Kluyveromyces lactis: one gene and its partners. The protein of the gene in region 6 purifies or fractionates together with the protein of the main gene of each other region. This does not show direct contact. Links are inferred from orthologs where the notes say so. Each region holds a gene or a part of one and is shown on either strand. Other genes may lie near its edges.

Evidence for each region.
Region 1: the proteins of NOP53 (region 6) and BUD20 purify together in Saccharomyces cerevisiae (affinity purification with mass spectrometry; 3 studies listed by BioGRID). This does not show direct contact. The link is inferred for Kluyveromyces lactis from reciprocal best matches to the Saccharomyces cerevisiae genes NOP53 and BUD20.
Region 2: the proteins of NOP53 (region 6) and SDA1 purify together in Saccharomyces cerevisiae (affinity purification with mass spectrometry; 5 studies listed by BioGRID, with this or other methods). This does not show direct contact. The link is inferred for Kluyveromyces lactis from reciprocal best matches to the Saccharomyces cerevisiae genes NOP53 and SDA1.
Region 3: the proteins of NOP53 (region 6) and REA1 purify together in Saccharomyces cerevisiae (affinity purification with mass spectrometry, with the first as the bait; 3 studies listed by BioGRID). This does not show direct contact. The link is inferred for Kluyveromyces lactis from reciprocal best matches to the Saccharomyces cerevisiae genes NOP53 and REA1.
Region 4: the proteins of NOP53 (region 6) and NOG1 purify together in Saccharomyces cerevisiae (affinity purification with mass spectrometry; 7 studies listed by BioGRID, with this or other methods). This does not show direct contact. The link is inferred for Kluyveromyces lactis from reciprocal best matches to the Saccharomyces cerevisiae genes NOP53 and NOG1.
Region 5: the proteins of NOP53 (region 6) and RSA4 purify together in Saccharomyces cerevisiae (affinity purification with mass spectrometry; 5 studies listed by BioGRID, with this or other methods). This does not show direct contact. The link is inferred for Kluyveromyces lactis from reciprocal best matches to the Saccharomyces cerevisiae genes NOP53 and RSA4.
Region 7: the proteins of NOP53 (region 6) and CGR1 purify together in Saccharomyces cerevisiae (affinity purification with mass spectrometry; 3 studies listed by BioGRID). This does not show direct contact. The link is inferred for Kluyveromyces lactis from reciprocal best matches to the Saccharomyces cerevisiae genes NOP53 and CGR1.

The regions. Positions count from the first base shown.
Region 1 is NC_006040.1:486,379-488,870, forward strand, and holds BUD20 (Bud20p), read right to left. Parts: upstream 1,005-2,492; coding exon 501-1,004; downstream 1-500. Other genes in the region: ubiquitin-specific protease OTU1, read left to right, coding at 1-334; RPL10 (60S ribosomal protein uL16), read left to right, coding at 1,643-2,305. UniProt on the Saccharomyces cerevisiae protein: Involved in pre-60S ribosomal particles maturation by promoting the nuclear export of the 60S ribosome. Involved in positioning the proximal bud pole signal.
Region 2 is NC_006037.1:498,626-502,876, forward strand, and holds SDA1 (Sda1p), read left to right. Parts: upstream 1-1,471; coding exon 1,472-3,751; downstream 3,752-4,251. Other genes in the region: transcription factor TFIIIB subunit BRF1, read left to right, coding at 1-919.
Region 3 is NC_006042.1:1,851,630-1,855,783, reverse strand, and holds the start of REA1 (AAA family ATPase midasin), read left to right. Parts: upstream 1-1,354; coding exon 1,355-4,154. Other genes in the region: REX3 (RNA exonuclease), read right to left, coding at 1-1,191. UniProt on the Saccharomyces cerevisiae protein: Nuclear chaperone required for maturation and nuclear export of pre-60S ribosome subunits.
Region 4 is NC_006041.1:2,150,259-2,154,182, reverse strand, and holds NOG1 (putative GTPase NOG1), read left to right. Parts: upstream 1-1,492; coding exon 1,493-3,424; downstream 3,425-3,924. Other genes in the region: Sec63 complex subunit SEC62, read right to left, coding at 132-872. UniProt on the Saccharomyces cerevisiae protein: Involved in the biogenesis of the 60S ribosomal subunit.
Region 5 is NC_006039.1:748,390-751,784, forward strand, and holds RSA4 (Rsa4p), read left to right. Parts: upstream 1-1,347; coding exon 1,348-2,895; downstream 2,896-3,395. Other genes in the region: mitogen-activated protein kinase kinase kinase SSK2, read left to right, coding at 1-820; IMG2 (mitochondrial 54S ribosomal protein mL49), read left to right, coding at 3,182-3,395. UniProt on the Saccharomyces cerevisiae protein: Involved in ribosome biogenesis. Required for processing and efficient intra-nuclear transport of pre-60S ribosomal subunits.
Region 6 is NC_006042.1:1,055,269-1,058,242, reverse strand, and holds NOP53 (Nop53p), read left to right. Parts: upstream 1-1,139; coding exon 1,140-2,474; downstream 2,475-2,974. Other genes in the region: HPR1 (Hpr1p), read left to right, coding at 1-716; ATP-binding cassette long-chain fatty acid transporter PXA1, read right to left, coding at 2,715-2,974. UniProt on the Saccharomyces cerevisiae protein: Late-acting factor in the nuclear maturation of 60S ribosomal subunits, which is required for normal acquisition of export competence. Required for the export of the large subunit.
Region 7 is NC_006041.1:950,129-952,297, reverse strand, and holds CGR1 (Cgr1p), read left to right. Parts: upstream 1-1,303; coding exon 1,304-1,669; downstream 1,670-2,169. Other genes in the region: CCM1 (Ccm1p), read right to left, coding at 1-963; KLLA0_E10737g (inositol oxygenase), read left to right, coding at 2,114-2,169. UniProt on the Saccharomyces cerevisiae protein: Involved in nucleolar integrity and required for processing of the pre-rRNA for the 60S ribosome subunit.

The DNA of each region.
Region 1 (2,492 bases), on a different chromosome or scaffold from region 6:
CGTGCTCGATGTGGATGCACGTAAATTCGAGAAATTCAACGAGGATTTATACGATAAATTTATTATTATAGCATATAACGGAGTTCATTATGATACGGTAGAGATATTTGATGGAACTCAGCATCAAACTGTATTTGACATCGGAGAGAAAGATACTGAATTCCTTTTACAAAAAACACAGGAGATCGCGAAGAAGATGAAAAGAGAGGGGAAGTCTTTCAATACTGCAAGAGATTCAATTTTATGCAATACTTGTGGCACCACCTTGATTGGAGAACGAGAGGTGAGCAAGCACGCTGAGAAAACTGGTCATGTTGATTTTAGGCAAAAATAAAACAAATATAACCATTGAATAATATTGAAGAAAGAAATAGCACTTAATATATGAGCGTCTGTATATCTACCAGTTTATATAATTGCACTTTCGGTGTATTTCTCTTGTGTTAAATGATAATATACATTGAAGAAAAAGCACAGGAAGTGAAAATGTTTTCCTGCATCTAATCAGCCATTTGAATTTCCCCTTCAGCAACTACAGCTTCTTGCTGTGCTTGTTCCTGTACTGCACCATCAAGGTATGGCAAAGTGGATTCTGTTGTGCTGACGTTGGCCAAAGTGGTATCAAGATGTGAGGTTAATATCTTTTCGTTTTCCTCCTTTTGAGGACCAATTTGAGATTTGATCTGCTCTACTCTAGCCAAGAACGAGTTCACACCACACCCAACAGCAGCATCTGCTACCTGTTGAGTGTATGGAACACCTTTCAATTCCTTCACCCTTCTCTTATGGATTTTAGTCTTCAAATGAGTCTTTAAGGCATATGCAGTTTCGAAATATTTAGCACAGTGTATGCAGTAGTATTGCCCTAGACCCGGTTTAGTTTCATCTATCGGCTGATTCAGGAGACTATCAATTTGCTTTTGAGATGTAAGCTCTTCATAGATCAAATCAAGATCCTTTGTTCTTCTCTTCGTCTTGTAACGTTTAACAGAATATCTTCCCATTTTCCTTTCTTACCTTCTCCTATATTTCTGACAGGCTGGTACCACAGATTAACTTAAACTATCAAACAAAACCAATGAGTATCTAAGTCTCATAGAGAAAGAGATTCAATGATGTGTGTTTGTACTTCTTTCTTCGCACTTGGCTTTATCGTAGAAACACCGAGTACATAAAATTTTCTGCAATATCATGTCTCGTCTCATCTCATCTCATCTCATCGACTTGGAAAAGAAATGAAATTTCAATCAGCATCACGTGCATAACAACGCATCTGGGACTGCTATCCCCAACACCCAGACACTATTACATATTGGCATTCAACATATTTTTATGATACAAAAACAACCACAATAGGAAATAGAGCACGTGATTAGTAACTATTTTCTTTGATTTGTTTTCACAGTAGTTTCTTACCGTGTGACTTCGCTACGACTTTCCAATCTTTTTCAAGTTTCTGACAAATGCAAAAGCTTCCTGCAATAGTTGGTGGTAATCATCGAGATTTTCAAATGTAATAAAAAGAGAACATAATTTAATGATAATTATCGATATCTTTAACATAAGGTTTGATCATTCGCTTCAATTTTGTTTATTATTTACAGGAACACCGATCACCTATCACCGTCCAAAGTAATTCAAAATGGCTAGAAGACCAGCTAGATGTTACAGATACCAAAAGAACAAGCCTTACCCAAAGTCTAGATACAACAGAGCTGTTCCAGACTCTAAGATCAGAATTTATGATTTGGGTAAGAAGAAGGCCACTGTCGATGAATTCCCATTGTGTGTCCACTTAGTTTCCAATGAATTGGAACAATTGTCTTCTGAAGCTTTGGAAGCTGCTCGTATTACTGCTAACAAGTACATCACCAAGATGACTGGTAGAGATTCTTTCCACTTAAGAGTCAGAGTCCACCCATTCCACGTTTTGAGAATCAACAAGATGTTGTCTTGTGCCGGTGCCGATAGATTGCAACAAGGTATGAGAGGTGCTTGGGGTAAGCCTCACGGTTTGGCTGCCAGAGTTGCCATTGGTCAAGTTATCTTCTCTGTCAGAACCAAGGACAACAACAAGGACACTGTCATTGAAGGTTTGAGAAGAGCTAGATACAAGTTCCCAGGTCAACAAAAGATCATTATCTCTAAGAAGTGGGGTTTCACTTCTTTGAACCGTGAAGAATACGTTAAGAAGAGAGACGCTGGTGAAATTAAGGACGATGGTGCTTTTGTCAAGTTCTTGTCCAAGAAGGGTTCTTTGGAAGAAAACATCAGAGAATTCCCAGAATACTTCGCTAAGGCTTAAATTTTTTATGTGTTGAATCAATAATAATTTCATCGTCATTTTAAGTAACCTAACCTACATACTATTTTAGCTTACCATTATGTTTTGGAGTTAATTCAATATCATTTTTCTTTCCTTCTCTTTAATCTCAAGTATGGACAATTCTCCCGAATAAAATGATACAAACCTATCCTTTGGCAATTACAAT
Region 2 (4,251 bases), on a different chromosome or scaffold from region 6:
GCATTCTGAAATCGTGGCAATATCTCATGTTGCAGAGGAAACGCTTCAGCAAAGATTGAATGAGTTTAAGAATACAACATCAGCTAAGCTCTCCGTGAAAGAGTTCCGTGATGATGAAACTGAGGTAAATGAGGGTGAGAGAAGTGCCGAATCGAAACCTCCTAGTTTCGATAAGAACAGACTAAAGGAAAAGAAAATAAAAGATTCTTTGGATACTAAAGAGATGTTGGAGACAAGCGAGGAAGCCGTGTCAAGAAATCCAATTTTGACTCAAGTGCTCGGAGCGCAGGAACTATCGTCTAAAGAAGTCCTTTATTATTTGAAGAAGCTTTCTGAACGCAGAAAAGCTGAATTCAGTCGTATAAAAGCTACGCATGGAATCGATGGAGAAGACTTACACAAAACTGAGAAAGACAAGAAACGTTCCCTGGATGAAATTGATGGATATAGTCTTGAAAAGGATCCATATAGACCAAGAAATTTACATTTATTACCCACCACAGCTTCTCTGCTTTCAAAAGTCAGCGATCATCCTGAAAATTTGGATGATGTTGATGATGCAGAATTGGATTCTCACTTGTTAGATGAAGAAGCTTCCAAATTGAAAGAACGTATTTGGATTGATATCAACGGTGATTACTTGATTGAACAAGAATCAAAAAGACTCAAACAGGAAGCAGATTTGGCCAGTGGGAATACTTCGCTACGAAAAAAACGCAGCAAACGTACTAATAGAAACCAATCCAGTGCAAGCATCGTCAAAGTTCAAGTCGACGGACTACCGCTTGATGTTTCCGTGGATGACGCTGATGCTGTAGATGTTGTCGCAGCTGGAGGTGTCAAGAATCTATTACAAAAGACGACTTTCTCAAAGAAGATCAATTACGATGCTATTAACGGTCTCTTTGGACAAAAATAGTTTCTACGTCGTCACTGTTTCTCTTCTCTTGTACGATATCCATCAGATCAAACTCAAGAAAATTATATGAATACCAACTGCTATTTACATATCGTTACTTGATACAGATGTCTGTTTTTGCTCTTTTTTATTTTAATATTTTACACTAAATTGGTGTATCAATTTCATTTCGATTATATTTTTGGAACTATATTTAAACGGCGTACATAATTTATAAACATTGCAAACAAATATTCGTTTGGTGTGGACTATTATTCATTTATGGAACACAATAATAAGCTACCATCAGTATACCATTTTGCCTATTCAGATATTAAAGAGCCTTAAACCCACTTTTTGCCTCTGGTTTCTTCTTTCCGTACCGTGAGTGAAAAGAAATTTTTTAGAAGGAAGAAAATTTTGAGATGAGATGCGATGAGATAGAACCTATGTATGAACAAAGTATATCACTCCGAGACAACTAAAGTTGCCTAACACTATTCGAACTTGTGCAAATCAACTAAGTATTTCCGAACAGTGAAAAGGAATCACATAATCAAATAAGAAACAAATATGGTTAGGAGATCTCGTGCTGCTATTCTACCGACAAACATTATTCTCTTGCAGAACCTTGTTAAGCGTGATCCTGAATCCTATCGTGAAGAGTTTCTACAGCAATATGCTCACTACCAATCATTAAGAGACATTTTCATGTTAAATTCGGTCAACAACGAGAGCACTGATGAAAGTGCAATGGCTGAGTTTATGGGAGCAATTGGATTTGTATCTCAAGTTTGTTCCTGTTATCCTCGTGAAACGGCAAACTTCCCAAACGAATTGAAACAGTTAGTATTAGATCACCACAAATCGCTTCCGTTTGACGTGAAAGAAAAGATTATCACCAGTCTAACTATGTTGAGAAATAAGAACGTTATCAGCCCTGAGACTTTGATTCAAACTATGTTCCCATTGCTTATTGCATACTCTTCCCCTAGTAATTCGATGGTCCAGAATTCTCACGCCAAAGAGCTAAGAACTTTAATCTACAACACTCTAGTACAGTTGATGAAATCTTGTAACACCAGTGGTAAGAACCAAAAATTAAACAAATCTACCCATGCGTTGTGTTTCAATTTGTTGGAACAGCCAGATTCTCAAGGTATATGGGCATCGAAATTGACAAGAGAGTTATGGAGAAGAGGTATCTGGGACGATTCAAGATCGGTTGAAATTATGACCCATGCTGCACTACATAACGATGTTAAAATTGCATACAGTGGTGTCTTGTTCTTTTTGGATGCTGATAAAGAGCGTGAAGAAGCGTTTGAAGAAAACGACGATGAGGATGAAATCGATACTACCGCTTTGAAGCACAAGCTCCAGATCAACAAGAAATCTAGTAAAAGAGGTAAGAAGCTAGAGCAAGCACTTAAGGTCGTAAAGAAGAAATCTGCTAAAGGTGTTCAACAGAATAATTTCTTAAATTTCAGTGCCATCCATCTATTACGTGATCCACAAGGGTTTGCCGAGAAATTGTTTGAAAGACATCTAAGTGGTAAGAATTCGAACAAATTTGATTTCGAACAAAAGACTGCCATCATGCAATTATTATCCCGTTTAACAGGTACACACAAGTTAATGGTTCTTGGACTATATTCATACTTCTTAAAATACCTGACGCCAAAGCAAAGGGACGTTACCAAGATTCTATCTGCTGCAGCCCAATCCTGTCATGATCTTGTTCCTCCAGAGACCATTGAAGTGATGGTGAGGAAGATAGCCAACGAGTTTGTTAGCGACGGTGTTTCAAATGAGGTTGCCACTGTGGGTTTGAATACAGTCAGAGAAATCTTGACTCGTGCCCCATTAGCTATCGATGAGACTTTACTACAAGATTTAACCGAATATAAGGGCTCCAAGGCCAAGAGTGTCGCCATTGCTGCTAAGGGTTTGATTGCATTATACAGAGAAGTTGCTCCGGAGATGTTAAAGAAGAAAGATCGTGGTAAGACCGCTTCTATGGGACTACAGGACGACAAACGCAATGGCAGGGAATCCAAACGTGTCAAGTTTGGTGTCGAGACTACTAATGTACAAGGTATAGATGGTATTGAGTTACTAGCGAAGTGGAAGCGTGAGAACGGAAACGAGGAGGATGATGATGATGAGGCTGCATGGGATTTGAACAACCGGGATGAATTATCAGATGCTTCGGATGTAGAAGGTGAGTGGGTGACGATAGAAAGCGATAAAGAGTACGAAGTTGACATGGACTCTGACGATGAGGAAAGCAAGAACAAAACAGGTCATAAGGGTAAGAAACGTTCCCACGATGAAGTCGAACCGGAAGCTGGTGAAGATAGTGATTTAGAATTATCCGGTGATGAAGAAGAACCAAAGGTGGGAGAAGAGCAGAAGGAAGAAAGTGAATCCGCTGACCCAGAAGAAGCTTTCCGTGAATTAGCATCCAGTCGTATCTTAACACCAGCCGATTTCGCTAAACTTCAAGAACTACGTACTGAAAAGGGTGTTACTAAACTTATGGGGATCAACAACGAAGAAACTATTGAGCATTACAAGCTTATGGGTCCAGCCAAGCACAAGAAACAGAACAAAGAGGAAAGAATGGCATCTATTATGGAAGGTCGTGAAGACCGTGAAAAATACGGAAGTAAGCGTGGTAAGCGTGACAGTTCAATGAGATCAACTACAAATAAAGAGAAATCTAGAAAGAAGAACTTTGTGATGATGATCCATAAGAGATCTGTGAAGGGTAAGCAAAAAATGTCGCTTCGTGACAAACAAAAGGTCTTGCGTGCTCATATCACGAAGCAAAAGAAGAAAGGTAATTAAACTAGATGGCATGGCAAAAGTAGTTATATTAATTATAGGCACTTGTAGACACAGCATATAAAAGATAGAAAAAAAAGACACGTCAGTGTCACGTGACCAACTCATTTTCTCCATTTAGCCCAGTTTTGAAGTTGTCCTTTCAGCCAATGTGATATCACCATCCGAGACCACTTGTCTGCTGCTCATATCCCAGGTCAAAAAGGACTATTAACACGGCTTAACGGTGTGCCAACGGTTTTGGACCGAGAAGGACATGATCTAACAGGGAAAAAAAAAACTCGAAAAGAAAAAGAGACCACTACAGGATGTTTGAGGAACTTCAGCTTGAATGGAAATCTCGACACTATCAGCTATATTCATGCGTCGGCATTAAGCCTTCTTCGCATCACGGGCTGTGGCCCGTGATGCTGGCCCGCACTAAATGGGGCCGGGAAGGCATATGTTCCAACGCGTTACTCTCGAGGGAACGATTTACTACTGCCTAGACTAGCTCGTCTCAG
Region 3 (4,154 bases), about 800 kb from region 6:
ATTTTGATTGATCATGCTAGGACAGATGTAACATTTTTCTGCTTCATGAATTGTAGGTGCAGTATCATCTATATGATGAATCCCACTAAATTTAGAATTTAAATCTATAATTTCGCCCAGTGGCTTTATTACCTTGTCATACACTACTTCTGAGGACCAGAAGTCAACTATTGTAATTCTAATCATTTCATACCCTTTCGATGTGAAAGCCATCTCACAGTCTAATGCCAAAACGTTCTCTTCGCCTTTGATATCAACGAGAGATTTAAAAGGGACCACACTCGACAGTTTTGTGAAATTCTCCCATTTGTAAACGTGATTTTTCGCTTTCATACACCCTGCAGATATGTCTGAATATGATTCAAGGGAAGCTCCACAACAAGGAAATTCTCTTTTTTTAGTTTCTCTGTTATATACTTTCCTTTGAAGGTGGTACCGACATACTGTCGGTTCCATAATTTTTGTCACATCAAATTTAGTTTCACATCTATAGCATTCCACATAATCTGATTCTGATTCATTGATCGGATCAGTGTCATACATCTTGACAAAAAATCCGTTCCTACTGAGTGTTTCCTCGTCGAGTAGCAAAGATCGTAGTTTTTGCAATACGTGGGACCTTTGTATTAATGACGAACTATTATTCTTAGGTTTGCCAGTTTTATCAAGATTACCCTTATATTTAACAATATCTCGTAATAGAATGGAAGCATTGAACGCGTAACTTTGTCTTGTTTTTGCTATTTTAGCAACCTCATGTTCCCAAATAGTCGATGCCTTTATAATGTGAGGGCTGCTCGATTGAAACCTCTTTAACTGTGTGTATATCTTTTGGACAACTCTAACTCTGTCTTGATACGGAGCAGGTTGCATTTTCATGTCAACCGGACGTAAAACTGGATTACCGACCATAATTATTGCATACAGAGGAATGTATCGGAAGACAATGGAGTTCAGATGGATTGTAAACTTTAGGCTTGCTGTTAATGGCTCTCTCAAAGCATTCTTTTCTCTTACCCATCCATTTTTCTTTTGCCGATGAGATGGATTGCAGGTATATCTTTCTTTCACTGAAATATTTATTTCTTTTTGGTGTTTTTCTGTGCTCTGAGAATTTTTTAAACAAAAGCGATGAGATGAGATGAGATGAGATGACTTTAAACAAACTGCCAAATTGAGTGTAGGATACATTTAACTGCAGATCCGCTATAGACTTAGCAAAGTAAGGCATATCACTTCTTTCACAGAGTATCAAAACATCGAAACGGATATTTTCTATTCTGCCTCTGTTTATTGACTAGGAAAGAAAGAAGAATTGCTTATAAGAGGGGCGAAGGATTGAATTACTATAGCCATGTCCTCTGCATTAATTTATTTAGATGTTACTGCGGCCGAGGAAAACTTCACTATATACCAGAAGGCTTTTACTCAGCAGCACTTGTCTGACTATTATAGATTTGATGCCAAGCTTTCAACCGATGAGAACTTGTCGAATTTAGCATTTTCCTCGTTAAAAGAAGATTTAACGATTCCTCATTTATACATTTACAAGAATATATTCTTGGACTGTTGCTCTAGATGGATTTTGCAACACGACTCCAAGAAGTTTGTCACGGTATTACACGCATTGGGCAGAATTGCAAGTTTATATCCGGAAGCTTCGCAATTGATCGAAGTGTTCTTGCTCAGAAATGGTGACTACTTTAACGCATTGTTACAAACTTACCAAGCTCATGATCCAAAGGACATCGAGTTGATCCTTTTGGCTTATTATCGATTGATTCAGTATGACAAGATCAGATTTGAGAGATATATCAATGCTCAAACTCTTAATTCACTTTTGGCACACCAATCTACAATCATCAAATTTTTGTCATTAAAAGTTCTTAATATGCTTATTGAAATGGCAGAGCACGCCTGTGAACTTGTGGTCCAAAATCAACTTAAACTGTCAACTGAACCTATCTTAAGTGTATTTGAAGGTGCTTCCGATGTAGATTATCAATTTTTGGAACTTACTGAAGCTAAAAGGCTCTCAAATTACCATAGTCTACCAAATGAAATCAATGAACTTGTTTCTTATCCAAAGAACTTCAGACCAACTGGAAAATCGTTCAACATCGATATCAATGAACTTTCGTCGTTGATTGTTGAAGTATGTGGTGTATTTATTGCCAGAATCTCCGAAGCACCTTCTAATGAAGAACATCTAAAGTCAGATCTAGTATATACGGATGGTGCCAAGTTGGCCTTACAAAAATTGGCCGAAGGTATTCAGCGCAACAAGCCTGTAATGCTTGTGGGTAAGGCTGGATCAGGTAAAACATTTTTGATCAATGAGCTTTCAAAAAAAATGAACTGCGATAGTTCTGTTGTCAAAATTCATTTAGGTGAACAAACTGATGCTAAACTACTTTTGGGTACATATACATCAGGTGAAAAACCCGGTTCTTTTGAATGGAGATCCGGTGTTCTCACAACAGCAGTTAAAGAGGGACGATGGGTACTTATCGAGGATATCAACAAAGCGCCAACCGAAGTCTTGTCTGTTCTTCTTACCCTTCTTGAAAAAAGAGAAATATCCATTCCATCTAGAGGTGAAGTCATCAAAGCTGCCAACGGTTTCCAGTTATTAGCAACAATAAGACTAGACGAGCACACCTCCCATGGTGGCATTACGCATGAGTCTGACCTGATTGGTATGAGATTATGGGAGAAAATCCTTGTAGATGAGCCGTCTGAAGACGATTTGAAGCTTATTCTACAAAAAAGGTTTTCTTTGTTAACTGCCTTAATACCGAAACTTATCAGCACCTACAAATCTGTGAAAGATATTTACAGAAATCCACAATTTGTTTCATTGAACAAAGGTGTTCAACCAAGAATCATTAGTGTTCGAGATTTAGTTAAACTAAGTCAGAGAATCACCGAACTTTTTGAAGCTAATCAAGTTGTTAAACCGGATCAACTTATCGAGTCGTCTATCTATGATGATATTTTTGCTGAAGCTGTCGATTGTTTTGTTGGTTCGATTAGTGAATATGGAGCCGTACAGCCCTTAGTACAGAAAATTGGAGAAGAGCTTGAAGTTTCAGTTTCCAGAATCACGTTGTTCTTGAACAAGCATGTACCGGCAATCGAAAAAGCTGGTGATGATGTGAAAATTGGAAGAGCTCACCTAAGAAGACCCAAGTCAACTATTCATAAAAAAAGTGCCAACACTACATCGTTTGCGTTTACCAATCATTCTCTTCGTTTAATGGAACAAATTGGTGTTGCCGTCAAAATGTGTGAACCAACATTATTAGTCGGTGAGACCGGTACTGGTAAAACTACTGTAGTTCAAGAGTTAGCAAAGCTAATGAATAAGAATTTGACGGTTATTAACGTTTCCCAGCAGACTGAGAGCGGTGATCTATTAGGTGGTTACAAGCCTGTGAATTGTAGGACTGTCGCAATTCCAATTCTAGAAGATTTTGAGGGGCTTTTCCTTGCTACATTCTCTTTGAAGAAGAACGAGAAGTTCTATAAACTCCTCCATAAGTGCTTCTCCAAGGGGCAATGGAAGAACGTCGCTAAACTTTGGAAAGAAGCTATTAAAATGGCTGATAGCATTCTAAAAAAGGACTCAAATGAGAAAGAGGAAGCTGACAAGAAAAAAAAGCGTAAACTCGACCCTGAGAGTAAACAAGCTTTATTGGAAAAATGGAAGGAATTCAGACAAACAGTTGAATCATTTGAATTACAATCCTCTACTTTGGAAAACTCGTTTGTGTTTAATTTTGTGGAAGGTTCTTTGGTGAAGGCTGTCAGAAATGGAGAATGGTTGTTATTGGATGAAGTCAACTTGGCCTCGGCAGACACGCTTGAAAACATAGCTGATTTGCTTTCAGAAAGTGACTCTAGAAGTATACTTCTATCTGAAAAAGGTGAGGCAGAATCGATAAAAGCCCATCCAGATTTCAGAATTTTCGCTTGTATGAACCCTGCTACAGATGTCGGTAAGAGAGATTTACCACCAGGTATTCGATCAAGATTTACCGAAGTTTATGTTCATTCTCCTGACCGTGACATCTCTGATCTATTGTCTATCATTGACAAGTACATTTCAAAGTATAGCGTAAGCGACGAATGGGTTGGTAACGACATCGCTG
Region 4 (3,924 bases), on a different chromosome or scaffold from region 6:
TATATTTATATATGTTTGTATGTTTATATGTGATATTAGTATGTGATTCTCACCGAAAGAATGAACATACACCTTCTGTGATAGTTAAATTGCTAATGTACAGTCTGGGATGGAAGTCCGTTACATTGAAGTTATTTTTGCTTCTTTGCAACTGATCTATGCTTTCTCTTTTCTTTCTTCAGGAAGCTATAGCATTCCTTTTCACCAAATCCATATAGCGGTTTGAAACTTTCTATAACACCGCAATCTTCGAACAAGTTTGGGAAGAGCCAGAACCCACCCTTCTCGCTAACTGCAGCTAATGACAACAAGTAAACTATCAATCTCACAATTGCAATACCAAAGAATACACCGATAAGTGCCAATGCTGCAATGGATAAGTAGTAAGTACCACGTTTCATATATGGAGGCCATAATGGGTAACACACGAATGCTAGCACACCGACTATGATACCGATCACAGTCAAGTAATCATAAATTGATTTTGGATTATAAGACCAGACGTAATATTCATCTGGTTGTAGAGTCGCTTTATTCGATAATAATAAGTTTGGATATGATTTGTTTGGCTTTAGACCATGTTCTTTACATTCTGCAGAATGTAATTTAACCGCTGGTACGACAAATTGGGCCTTGATTAAGGAAACAAAAATGTTACGAGCATCTTCATCGCTTGTCACAGCGGGGTACAATTCGGGTTGTTTTTTGGACTTTGCCTTATATTTATCACTTTTCAAAGCTCTAACAAATCTTTTATAACGGAAGAAGTCAACTAAACGCGATTGGAACAATCCTTGTCTTTGCTTCAAGTCGCTATGAGTCCTGAGTAGATTGGCAATGGCTATCGTAGATTGTGGGCTTGGTTCCGACATAGTAACGAAACAAATCTATATTTGAAGAGAAAAATTCAAAAAAAAAAGGCGGATAAGGCAATTCTACCGGAAATTAGGCAATTATCAGGTAGTGATTAGAAAGTTATAATGAATCTAGAGATTGGACTCAAGCTGTATTCTTTCAGATCAAAATCTCATTGATATTTCTGTATATATTGAAAGTTGAAACGTAAACCGTAAATAAAATGTTCACATACATTTTAACAGTAAAATATATTGTTACCCCGACAGTCTCAAAAGAAAGTGCTTTAGTCACGTGACATAACCAATGTGTATGCCTTTAACGGTCAATTCTGAGATCCATACGAAAAAGAAATCCTGAAAGCACAATTTTTTTTTTCTTTTCAAAGGTTTGCAGTAGTGGGAAAATTTTCCAAACGGCAAGCTCATCTCATCTCATCTCATCTCATTGTGCATTCGAAGTGATAGACAGAGCTTGATTATCAGTGTGACATCCGTTTGACAGGTAGTTTGAATAGATTGGAAGTTTGTTCAAACAACTAAGCATAGCTTAACTGCATTATTGCTAGTTTAATTGTTTTTTGTTGTCCCCGTGTGTGCGTGTATCCCAAAGTTTACGTCAAATCAATTAAGCAACAATGCAATTATCCTGGAAAGATATTCCGACCGTGGCTCCTGCCAATGACTTGTTGGACATTGTGTTGAACAGAACTCAAAGAAAGACACCTACTGTTATTAGACCAGGTTTCAATATCACTCGTATCAGAGCGTTTTACATGAGAAAGGTGAAGTTCACCGGTGAAGGGTTCGTGGAAAAATTTGATGATATTTTGAAAGGTTTCCCTAATATTAACGACGTGCATCCTTTCCATAGGGATTTGATGGATACTTTGTATGAAAAGAATCATTTCAAAGTTTCTTTGGCTGCTGTGAGTCGTGCTAAGACATTGGTCGAACAAGTTGAAAGAGATTACACAAGATTGTTAAAATTCGGTCAATCTCTTTTCCAATGTAAACAATTGAAGAGAGCCGCTCTTGGTAGAATGGCTACCATTGTGAAGAAGTTGAAGGATCCTTTAGTGTATTTGGAACAAGTTAGACAACATTTGGGTAGAATGCCATCCATCGACCCAAACACCAGAACTTTGTTGATTTGCGGTTATCCAAATGTGGGTAAATCCTCTTTCTTGAGATGTATCACTAAGGCTGATGTCGAAGTGCAACCTTATGCTTTCACCACCAAGTCGCTATATGTGGGTCATTTTGATTATAAATACTTGAGATTCCAAGCGATTGATACTCCAGGTATCTTGGATAGACCTACGGATGAAATGAACAACGTCGAAATGCAATCCATTTATGCTATTGCTCATTTGCGTTCTACTGTTATGTACTTCATGGATCTATCAGAACAGTGTGGTTTCTCTATTGAAGCTCAAGTCAAATTATTCCATTCGATCAAACCATTGTTTGCCAATAAATCCGTCATGGTCGTCATTAACAAGACTGATATCATTAAACCTGAAGATTTAGACGAAGAACGTAAGAAACTTTTGGATACTGTTTTGGAAGTTCCAGGTGTTGAAATCATGACCACTTCTTGTCATGAAGAAGATAACGTTATGGCTGTTAGAAACAAGGCTTGTGAAAAGTTGTTGGCTTCCAGAATTGAAAACAAGCTAAAATCTCAAGCTAGAATCACTAACGTCTTAAACAAGATCCACGTCGCTCAACCTCAAAAGCGTGATGATGGTATTGACAGAACTCCATATATTCCAGAAGCCATCGCTAAGATGAAGAAATATGATCCAGAAGATCCAAACAGAAGAAAATTGGCTAAAGAAATTGAAATCGAAAACGGTGGGGCCGGTGTATACAACGTTAATTTGAAGGACAAGTATCTATTGGAAGACGATGAATGGAAGAACGATGTCATGCCAGAAATCTTAGATGGTAAGAACGTTTATGACTTCTTGGATCCAGAAATCGCAATCAAATTACAAGCTTTAGAGGAAGAAGAAGAAAGATTAGAATCTGAAGGCTTCTATGAATCCGACGAAGAAGAAACTTACGAAGGATTTGATGCTGACGAAATCTCTGAGATCAGAGAAAAGGCAGAATGGATTAGAGATAGACAAAAGAAGATGATCAATGCTTCAAGAAACAGAAAGGCATTGAAGAACCGTGGTACCATGCCTCGTTCTAAATTGGCAAAGACATATGGTGACATGGAGAAGCACATGTCTTCTTTAGGTCACGATATGACTGCTTTGCAAGATAAGCAAAGAGTCGCTGCTGAAAAGAACAGATATGAGCAAACTGGTGCTGACGTGGTATACGGTGATCAAGAAGATTCTGCTCCAGCTGGTAAGCTAAGACAGACAGATAGATTGACAGACGGTGTTGCTGATGGTTCAATGAGATCGAAGGCTGAAAGAATGGCCAAATTAGAAAGAAGAGAAAGAAACAGAATGGCCAGAGCCGGTGAATCTGACAGACATGCTACTGCCTCTCTACCAAAACATTTGTTCTCAGGTAAGCGTGGTGTTGGTAAGACTGATTTCCGTTAAACTGTCTGTTCTTCCTTCCTTTCCATCACTGGTGATTTCGAACATATATTATCGTGTTGCCAATTTCTTTTCTATCTCTATTGAACTATATATATTAGTCACTACTTTCATTTATTTGTCTGCATTGGGTGGGTTAAATTTAATTATTACTCCTTTATTTGTAAAATAGTTACGTACTCTGTAAAATTATAAGAGTTATACCTTTGATTTGCTTTTCCTTGACCAAATAACCAACATCCCTCTGACCTCAGTAACAATTTTATCTTTGAAAGTTATTGACTAATCTTGAAGAATAAAAAGGATGAAAATTGTAGGATCTAAATAAAATAGAAAAAAAGGAAACACTGACATAAATATTTCACCAAAACAATCTCAGTATACCTGGAATATTTAACCGTCGACCAACATCATTTTGCTTGAGTTATATTTGATTGCCTCTATTATTTCTCTATCGGTTTATCAGGCGACAGTTTTTTTTTTCTCTCTCCTATGTGCCCTTA
Region 5 (3,395 bases), on a different chromosome or scaffold from region 6:
AGATACTGGTGATATTTTAGCGGTAAAAGAGATCAAAATCCAAGATGCTAAATCCATGAAGCAAATTTTCCCATCTCTCAAAGAAGAAATGCGCGTCATGGAGATCTTAAATCACCCGAATATTGTTCAGTACTATGGTGTGGAAGTTCACAGAGACAAGGTTAATATCTTTATGGAATTCTGCGAGGGTTCCTCCTTAGCCAGTTTACTCGAACATGGCCGGATTGAAGATGAAATGGTAACTCAAGTTTACACACTACAATTACTTGAGGGATTGGCATGTTTGCACCAATCTGGAGTTGTGCACAGAGATATCAAACCGGAGAATATCTTATTGGATCGTAATGGCGTTATCAAATATGTAGATTTTGGTGCCGCAAAACTCATTGCAAAGAACGGATCAAAGAGGATATCACTGGATGCCAATAACAAATCTACAGGCGGGAAAGATATGATCGGAACACCGATGTATATGGCACCAGAAACGGTGACTGGTCAAGGACACGGAAAATTCGGATCCGATGATATATGGTCTTTAGGTTGTGTTGTACTGGAAATGGTGACCGGTAGACGTCCATGGGCTAACTTAGACAATGAATGGGCTATCATGTATCATGTTGCAGCTGGTCACCTTCCGCAATTCCCAACCAAGTCTGAAATTTCATCTGCGGGTAGAAAGTTCATAAGCAGATGCTTAATACAAGATGCCAATAAAAGAGCAACTGCAATGGAATTGTTACTTGATCCCTGGATTTCTCAAATACGTAACATTGCATTTGGTGGCAATGCAGAATCTTTTAATAATGAAACTCATAACTAGTTCTGATAGACATAAAAGTTTCCTCCCCATGACGATCATATGTAACAATTGTAACCATAGATTTTTTTTTTGTATAAGTATTGTATGTATATATAATAATAATAGGAACTTTTGTTTGACTTTTTTTTAAACAATGCCGGATCCGTATAGTATCAATGTAACATGCACTTTCCGTTATCTGTGAGTTGCTTGCCAGTAAGTAAATTGCAGTCTAGGAATTTTTTGTGCCTGATGCTCCCCATAAGGTATTCAGAGCATAGTTTCAACATAATAAAGATTTATATTACCCGGAAGTGGTGAACTAAAAGAAATTCTTAAGTTCAAGAAAATCTTTTGAGATGCCGATGAGATGAGATGAGATGAGCTTCAACTACCAAGTCGACTTCCCTAAAAAGGAGAAGGTTCTGGTGAACGATATTAGTATTCCAGCAATAATCACAGGTCTTTTCTCGAAAGAAGTTTTTAGGTAATTAAACGAGCCCAAAATAATTCTCTGAATTTGTTAGGCCAAGCAATCCAAACGAAACATGGCAACCTTACTCCCACCGCCTTCAAAGAAGCAAAGAAGAGAAGCTCAAGCTGAACGTGGAGTTGACCTTATTCCCAAAGACCTTCCAAATGTTCTCATTAAATTCCAAGCTTTTGACAGTGGTGAAACTGTTGGAGGTTCTCTAAGGGTTCCAGGTGGTATTTCGGAGCAGCAACTGGAGGAATTGTTGAATCAGTTAAATGGAGACTCGGCAGATCCTGTTCCATACACGTTTAGCTGTTTAGTTAGCAACAAAAAGAAGGATGCAGATGAGGAAATGGTAGATATTAGAGATAATCTATATCAATCCATTTTAAAACCAGGTTTGAAAACTACCGAAGATTTTTTGACTCTAGTGTATACCCCAAGAGCTATCTTCAAAGTAAAACCAGTAACTCGGTCGTCTTCTGCAATTGCTGGTCATGGCTCGACAATTTTGTGTTCTGCATTTGCTCCAAATACAAGCTCCAGGATGGTTACCGGTGCTGGTGACAATACTGCATGTATCTGGGATTGTGACACTCAAACGCGTATGTGCACGTTACAAGGCCATCACAACTGGGTCCTATGTTGTTCCTGGTCTCCAGATGGTGAATTAATCGCCACAGGTTCTATGGACAACACAATTAGATTATGGGAATCAAGCAAAGGTAAGCCTTATGGTGATGCTTTAAGAGGTCACTCGAAATGGATTACCTCCTTATCTTGGGAACCAATCCATCTTGTCAAACCTGGTGACAAACCGAGATTAGCAACTGCATCCAAGGATGGAACTATCAAAATCTGGGATACAACAAGAAGAGTTTGCCTTTTAACCTTATGTGGCCATACGTCTTCTGTTTCCTGTGTCAAGTGGGGTGGAAAAAATGTTCTATACAGTGGTTCTCACGATAAAACAATCAGATGCTGGGACATGAATTTGAACGGTAAATGTATCAATATCCTAAAATCACACGCCCATTGGGTTAATCATCTTTCACTTTCAACAGATTATGCATTAAGACTCGGTGCGTTCGATCACAAGGGCGAAACTCCTGCTTCACCTGAAGAAGCCCAACAGAAGGCTCTGAAAAATTACGAAAAAGTTGCTAAAAGAAAAGGTGACTTCGAAGAACTGATGGTAACTGCCAGTGACGATTTTACTATGTATCTGTGGAACCCCTTGAAGTCTACTAAACCTATTACCAGAATGACCGGCCACCAAAAGCTCGTCAACCACGTTGCATTTTCGCCAGATGGCCGTTACATTGTTTCTGCATCCTTTGACAACTCCATTAAATTATGGGATGGAAGGGATGGTAAATTCCTATCCACCTTTAGAGGACATGTAGCGAGTGTCTACCAAGTAGCTTGGTCAAGCGACTGTAGACTACTCGTTTCTTGTTCCAAAGATACCACTTTAAAAGTCTGGGATGTCAAAACTAGAAAACTGTCCGTCGATCTACCCGGTCATCAAGATGAAGTCTACACTGTAGATTGGTCTGTAGACGGTAAACGTGTATGTAGCGGTGGGAAAGATAAAATGGTCAGGATATGGACTCATTGAGTGGATCCACTGCATCTGAATAATTAGCATGATTAAATTATAGACTGCCTTATGTATGTTATAGCTTCTTTTACATTTATTATGAGGTGCACAGGTGTCCCTTCTTCTTACAAGCTGAAAATTTTGAAAAATTAAAGCTTCAAGCATAGTTGAAAAGATGAAGAACGATTCAGCCGGCATTTACCATAGGAAATCGATAAGTTATCTATATAGTAAGAAAGGTGTACACCGGGAAAACCTGCATAACCACACAACAGCCTACTAATAATACAACGGCTAGTTAATAATGCTTACAAGAGTTACAAGAAGTTTTGCGGCTATGAGCCCAAGATCATTTCGGATTTGTACTAGACTACAATCAACCCAAGCACAGCAACCACAACAACAGGAAAACTCAGAAATTGAGCTTTTAAATGAACTTAAATCAGAAATGGACAAATTGGGACCATTATCTGATGCCGAAAGTGCCGAACTCAGTGCTTTATTTGACAGTCAAAGTC
Region 6 (2,974 bases):
AATTAGACGGTCTATGGAAAGTGCAATCAGGCTTAGATTTAGCGAGAAAGTATTCAGAAAACAATAGACAAGATCCCTCAGAACTATATGACACTATAATATCCGAATACAAGGATAAAACTGAAAAAACTGATGGTGATGAAACCACTACTGATAATGTCATAGTAAAACAATGGCAGAATCTAAGATCTTTGAGGCCGAAATACTTGTTTGAGTTTAATAAGGTCAGCGAAAAAACTACTCTGGCGGGGTTCGCCAATGAAGAACTCATTAGGAATGATATCGAATCTAAGAAAAGACGGCTAGCCGAAAGAATAGAGTCAAAAAAGAAGAAACATTCCGAACAAGTCGCCGAGGCTGAACAGTTTTTCAAAGACAAGGAACAAGAAAGGAAAGATCTACTTCAAGCGAAGATAAAAAGTCAAAGAGAAACTCTGGAAAATGGAAAAAATGATAAAACAACTTCGCCTGATGATCAAGATAATGATTCACTAAAGAGAAGACACGATAGTCCAGAGGCTGACGGGAATGAAGAAGAACAAGCTGTTTCGAAGAAACAAAAACTTGAGGAAGAAGTTGAAGAACCAGATGCTGACGCTGAGGCTCAAAAGGAAAAAGCGCTTGAATCTGAACCAACAGAGCTTAAAACAATAGAAAGTACAGAAACAGAAGTAGAGGTGCCGAAAGAACATGAAGGAAGCTCCCACACGGAGTAGGCTAACAATACAGTAATATTTTTTCAGACATCCGTTCAAATATATAGCATATAATTCGATTGAAGAATCATTTATTTTATCAATTACAGATGTTACTTATCAATATCACACGATTCTAGACTATTCCTCTCCTAATTGACATTCGACAGCTATCTCCTTGTCTATTATGAATCGATATCCTTTACTTTGCTTCGAAAGTGAATGTTACCCGGAGAATAATCATATTTCTTTTTTTTTATGTCAATTTTTCATTTAGACAATCCGATGCCAATAAGATGAAAAAAAAAAAAAGAGATGAGATGCGATGCGATGAGATGAATTCAAGTACACAATTAATACTCGGGGACTGGCGTATCGTTTTACTAATCCTTACCATACTATTCAGGACAATCCACCTCAAACAAACAGACAAAATAGTTAGTTATGGCGGGATCTAAGGACAGACCAGCTCAGTACAAACAATCTTCTCGTAAAGGTAAGAAGGCATGGAGAAAGAATATTGATATAAGCGATGTGGAACGCAAGCTCGAAGAGAAGCAGATCCTTGAGACTACTCATGGTAAGCAGAATTTGACAGAACTTAGCGATGATGCGCTTTTTGCGGTTGATACTGAGGGTGACCAAGTTTTAAAGCAGAAATTAGTGAAGAGGAAAGCAATCAAGAAAACTCTGAAGTCAACCGAGATTTTGGAGTCTATCAAGTCTAAATCCAAAGTGCCTGCTCTAACCAACCCAAAGACTGCTAACAAGAAACATGATAAGATCCAAGGGGTATCAAAGAAAGAACTGGACAGATTACTTGCTTTAGCTGGTAAAAAAATTGGTGAAAGTAAGTTGAAAGCAAGAGTTGCAAAAGAAGGTCTTGTGAAGTCAGGATCCCTTGATTTATGGGGCGAAGATGCTGGTAAGGAGGTTAAAGTACCATCTGGACTGAAGCTTAAGATAGCACCAGAAGAAGTAGAGAAACTTCCAAATGGATTCTTAAAACAGTCTACAACTAGTTGGTCCGTCGCAACTGTTAAGCCGGATTCCATTGCTCGCGTGCCAGAAATTGTCAAAGAAAGAGATGTCATTCCACATGCAGGAAAGTCATATAATCCAAGCAAAGAAGAATGGGAGGCTCTTATAAGTACTGAATATGAGGGTGAGCTGATAAATGAACAGCGCAGGATAGCTTTAGAACAATATAAACAACGAATTCAACACTTGATGGATACTATTGAAGATAAGGAGGAAGAGGACTCCGATTCAGAAGAAGAAAATGAATCAGAACTTGATGATAAAGACCTTTCAGAAGAGGGAGAAGAGACTAAGTTGTCTCTGAATCCAGCAACTAAGAATAAAAAGAAAACGAAATATCAGAGAAATAAACAAAGAAGACACGAAGAAAAAGTCAAACTTCAGCAAGAATTAAAGAAATTGAAGGAAAAGGTTCTCAAACTTGAAAAATTAGAGGAAATTCAGCAGGAAGTGGAATCCACCGTCCCAAATCCGGTCTCTACAGCCGGAAAAGTTAAAAAGAACAAGAAGCATAAGCTTGGTACTAAACATTCCGTCATGGAAGACAATTTAGAGGTGAAATTCTCAGATGAACTATCAGATTCATTAAGAAAATTAAGACCAGAAGGTAATCTGCTATATGACACTGTGAGAGCATTACAAAGTTCTGGTAGGGTAGAATCTCGTATCCCTATTAGAAAAGGTAGAAGATATAAACCAAGAGTCACTGAGAAATGGACTTACAAGGACTTCAAATAGATTAATTTGCTCTTTTCTTTCTATACATCATTCCGTACCATTTGTACAATAAAATACACAGACGTACCTGTGCTTTTCTTGCATAATTTATATAGAGCAAAATATTAATAGATTCATTAACTCTGTGATTATATTATATAATAGTAATGAATACAATATCCGACACTTTTACTACTGATTGAACTACACACCAAGAATAGTTCATTTGACTTGGCAGATTTAAATTTTCAAACCAATTTTTCACACCAATGTCAACTTTGCCTGTAGTTCATCTCTCTGCCTTTCCCATTCTTTTACCTTTGTTAGCTTTTGGTTTAGGGTTTCAATCTCATTTTCGATTGATAAAATAGCTTCGTCTGACCCTAATGCCTGTAGGCTCCAATCAGTTCCGTTAGTCAATTCCAATAGGTAGTCATGGTATTTTATCAAAGACGGGCGTTGAGAGATGGATATGAAGTTGAATCTGTATCTCTTCAACATGGTAAAAAGATGATCTTCCA
Region 7 (2,169 bases), on a different chromosome or scaffold from region 6:
ATAGAAAGAAATGACTGTCGTATAGTTCTTTCTGTTAGGTTGCATATCATACGTCGAGGTGAATTTCTTTAAAAAAAAGTCCATATACTCCCAGCTCATGGCTTTTGAAGCTGCAAATATACAAGCATTTAGCATATACTGTGTTGGCTGGAAACTTTTCTTCGATAATGTAGCATCCATTCTCTCTGTTAACTCTCGAAGTTTACCACATACTTCCAATTTGCCCTGTGCTGATGGTGATGTAACCCGAGAAAAAGACAACATGAGATGCTCGTATAAGTTACCATTTAACCGCGAGGAGTCATTCCCAACGCTTTCCATTATCATCTCATCCAATTGGGATAAGCTCGTAAAGGAAAGTTTATCGAATTTCGAAAGAATCTTGGAATAAATAAATTGGATTCCTAAACCCTTTAGTCTCTGTTCTGAATGGTATAGTTCTGTTACTATCGGATTAAAATCCCTATTCCTCTTATCAAACAAACACCTCAAAATGAGGTCCTTGTCCTTTATCCTCTCTGATAATCGCTCGGGTAGTAACGATGTATCAGCTTTATCTGATAACAAAAGAGTTGAAAGATTCTGTTCTGCCCCAGGGCCCGCTACCTTATCGTTCAATGAACTTAAAATAACTCCAGCATCGCTGTCAAAATCATGCATCTCGGGATCTACCGATTTTGTCTCCTCCTCTTCTATAACATGCTTACGCTTTAGCTCATCAGTGTACTTGATCTGTTCTCGAAGATTTCTGGTGAACTCTTTCAACTGATTAACCTTGAACTGAACTTCCTTCTCATTAGTGAAATCGATTGAATCCAAATCTAACACATCTTTCGTATCAGTGACAGATCTCGCCCGTCTCTTACGAGATCTAACATCTCTGCTAGCTGGCATGATCACACTCCTTCGCGCATTTCGTACCAGTGTTGACGAAGTCTTACCATTCTTTCCAAGTGAAAGCATTCCCTCTTACAGTGGTTTCCAAAAGATCAAAAGAGCACCTTTTATATGTTCCTTACACTATAATTCAATTAATCGATGATCTAGCGACAGATAACACCGATTGAACTTTTGAACTAATACTTTCATGGTAAGTTCATCTCATCTCATCTCATTTCTAACTAGAAATTTTTCAATCTTTAATGTTAAAGATTTCTTTTTCATTATTATGTGATAGTGAAAAATTAGAGAGACAATGAGATGAGATGAGATGAGATGAGAGAAACACATACAAAGGTTGTAACAAAGTGGTCGTGACTGGAGTAACCATTACTGTAGTAATCGCGAAAGTGTACGAATTATCATGTCAGACAATACAGCAGAACAGCAGGATATACAGATCAAGGGTAAGCCCGTTAGTGGCCGCACCTGGAAGGTAGAGAAAGAACCTTTGAGGGCTAAGAACAGAGTCGTGAAGAATAAGAAGTTGACCTCATGGGAATTGAAGAAACAAAAGAGACTAGAAGATCAGCAGTTCAAGGAAAAGGTACGTGCTTTGAAGGAGGAGAAGAAAGCCGAGAAAGACGCTGTTATTCAAGCTTTGAAGGAAAGAAGAGCAAAGAAGGAAGAACAAGAAAGGTACGATAGATTGGCTGCCAAGATGCACGCTAAGAAGGTCGATAGACTAAGAAGAAGAGAAAAGAGAAATAAGGCTTTGAAAGAGCGTTGAGACATAAAGTCATAAATACTGTATAATAGAATAAAGACATATCTGCATTAACGATTTAGGCTTGTTCCGTCCTCCGCAATTGTATATACTGACGATGAAAAAGTATGTGGGAAATTGACAAAAATTAAAACCAATTTGCTGCTTCTGTGGATCGAACACAGGACCTTATGAACTTCAGTCATACGCTCTCCCAACTGAGCTAAAGCAGCCAAATTAATTACAAGAACCAGTTTTCTTTCGCTCACCTTGCACTAAAATTACTGTTATGGATATTTCTCAATGATTTTCTAATGATGGATGTGAGTGTCAACTTAACGATAGAACAGGATTAAGTTTATAGTGTATGAGATACGTCTCGGTACGCTCTGATATTTCGAACGGTGAATTTATTAGTGCTCTGTTAAAAGGGATCTTTTGCTCAGTGCCGTTGAAATAATTGAAACAATGTCAAAGGATTTGGGAGAGATTATCCATTCGGATAAAGGCCATTTACTGGAGCT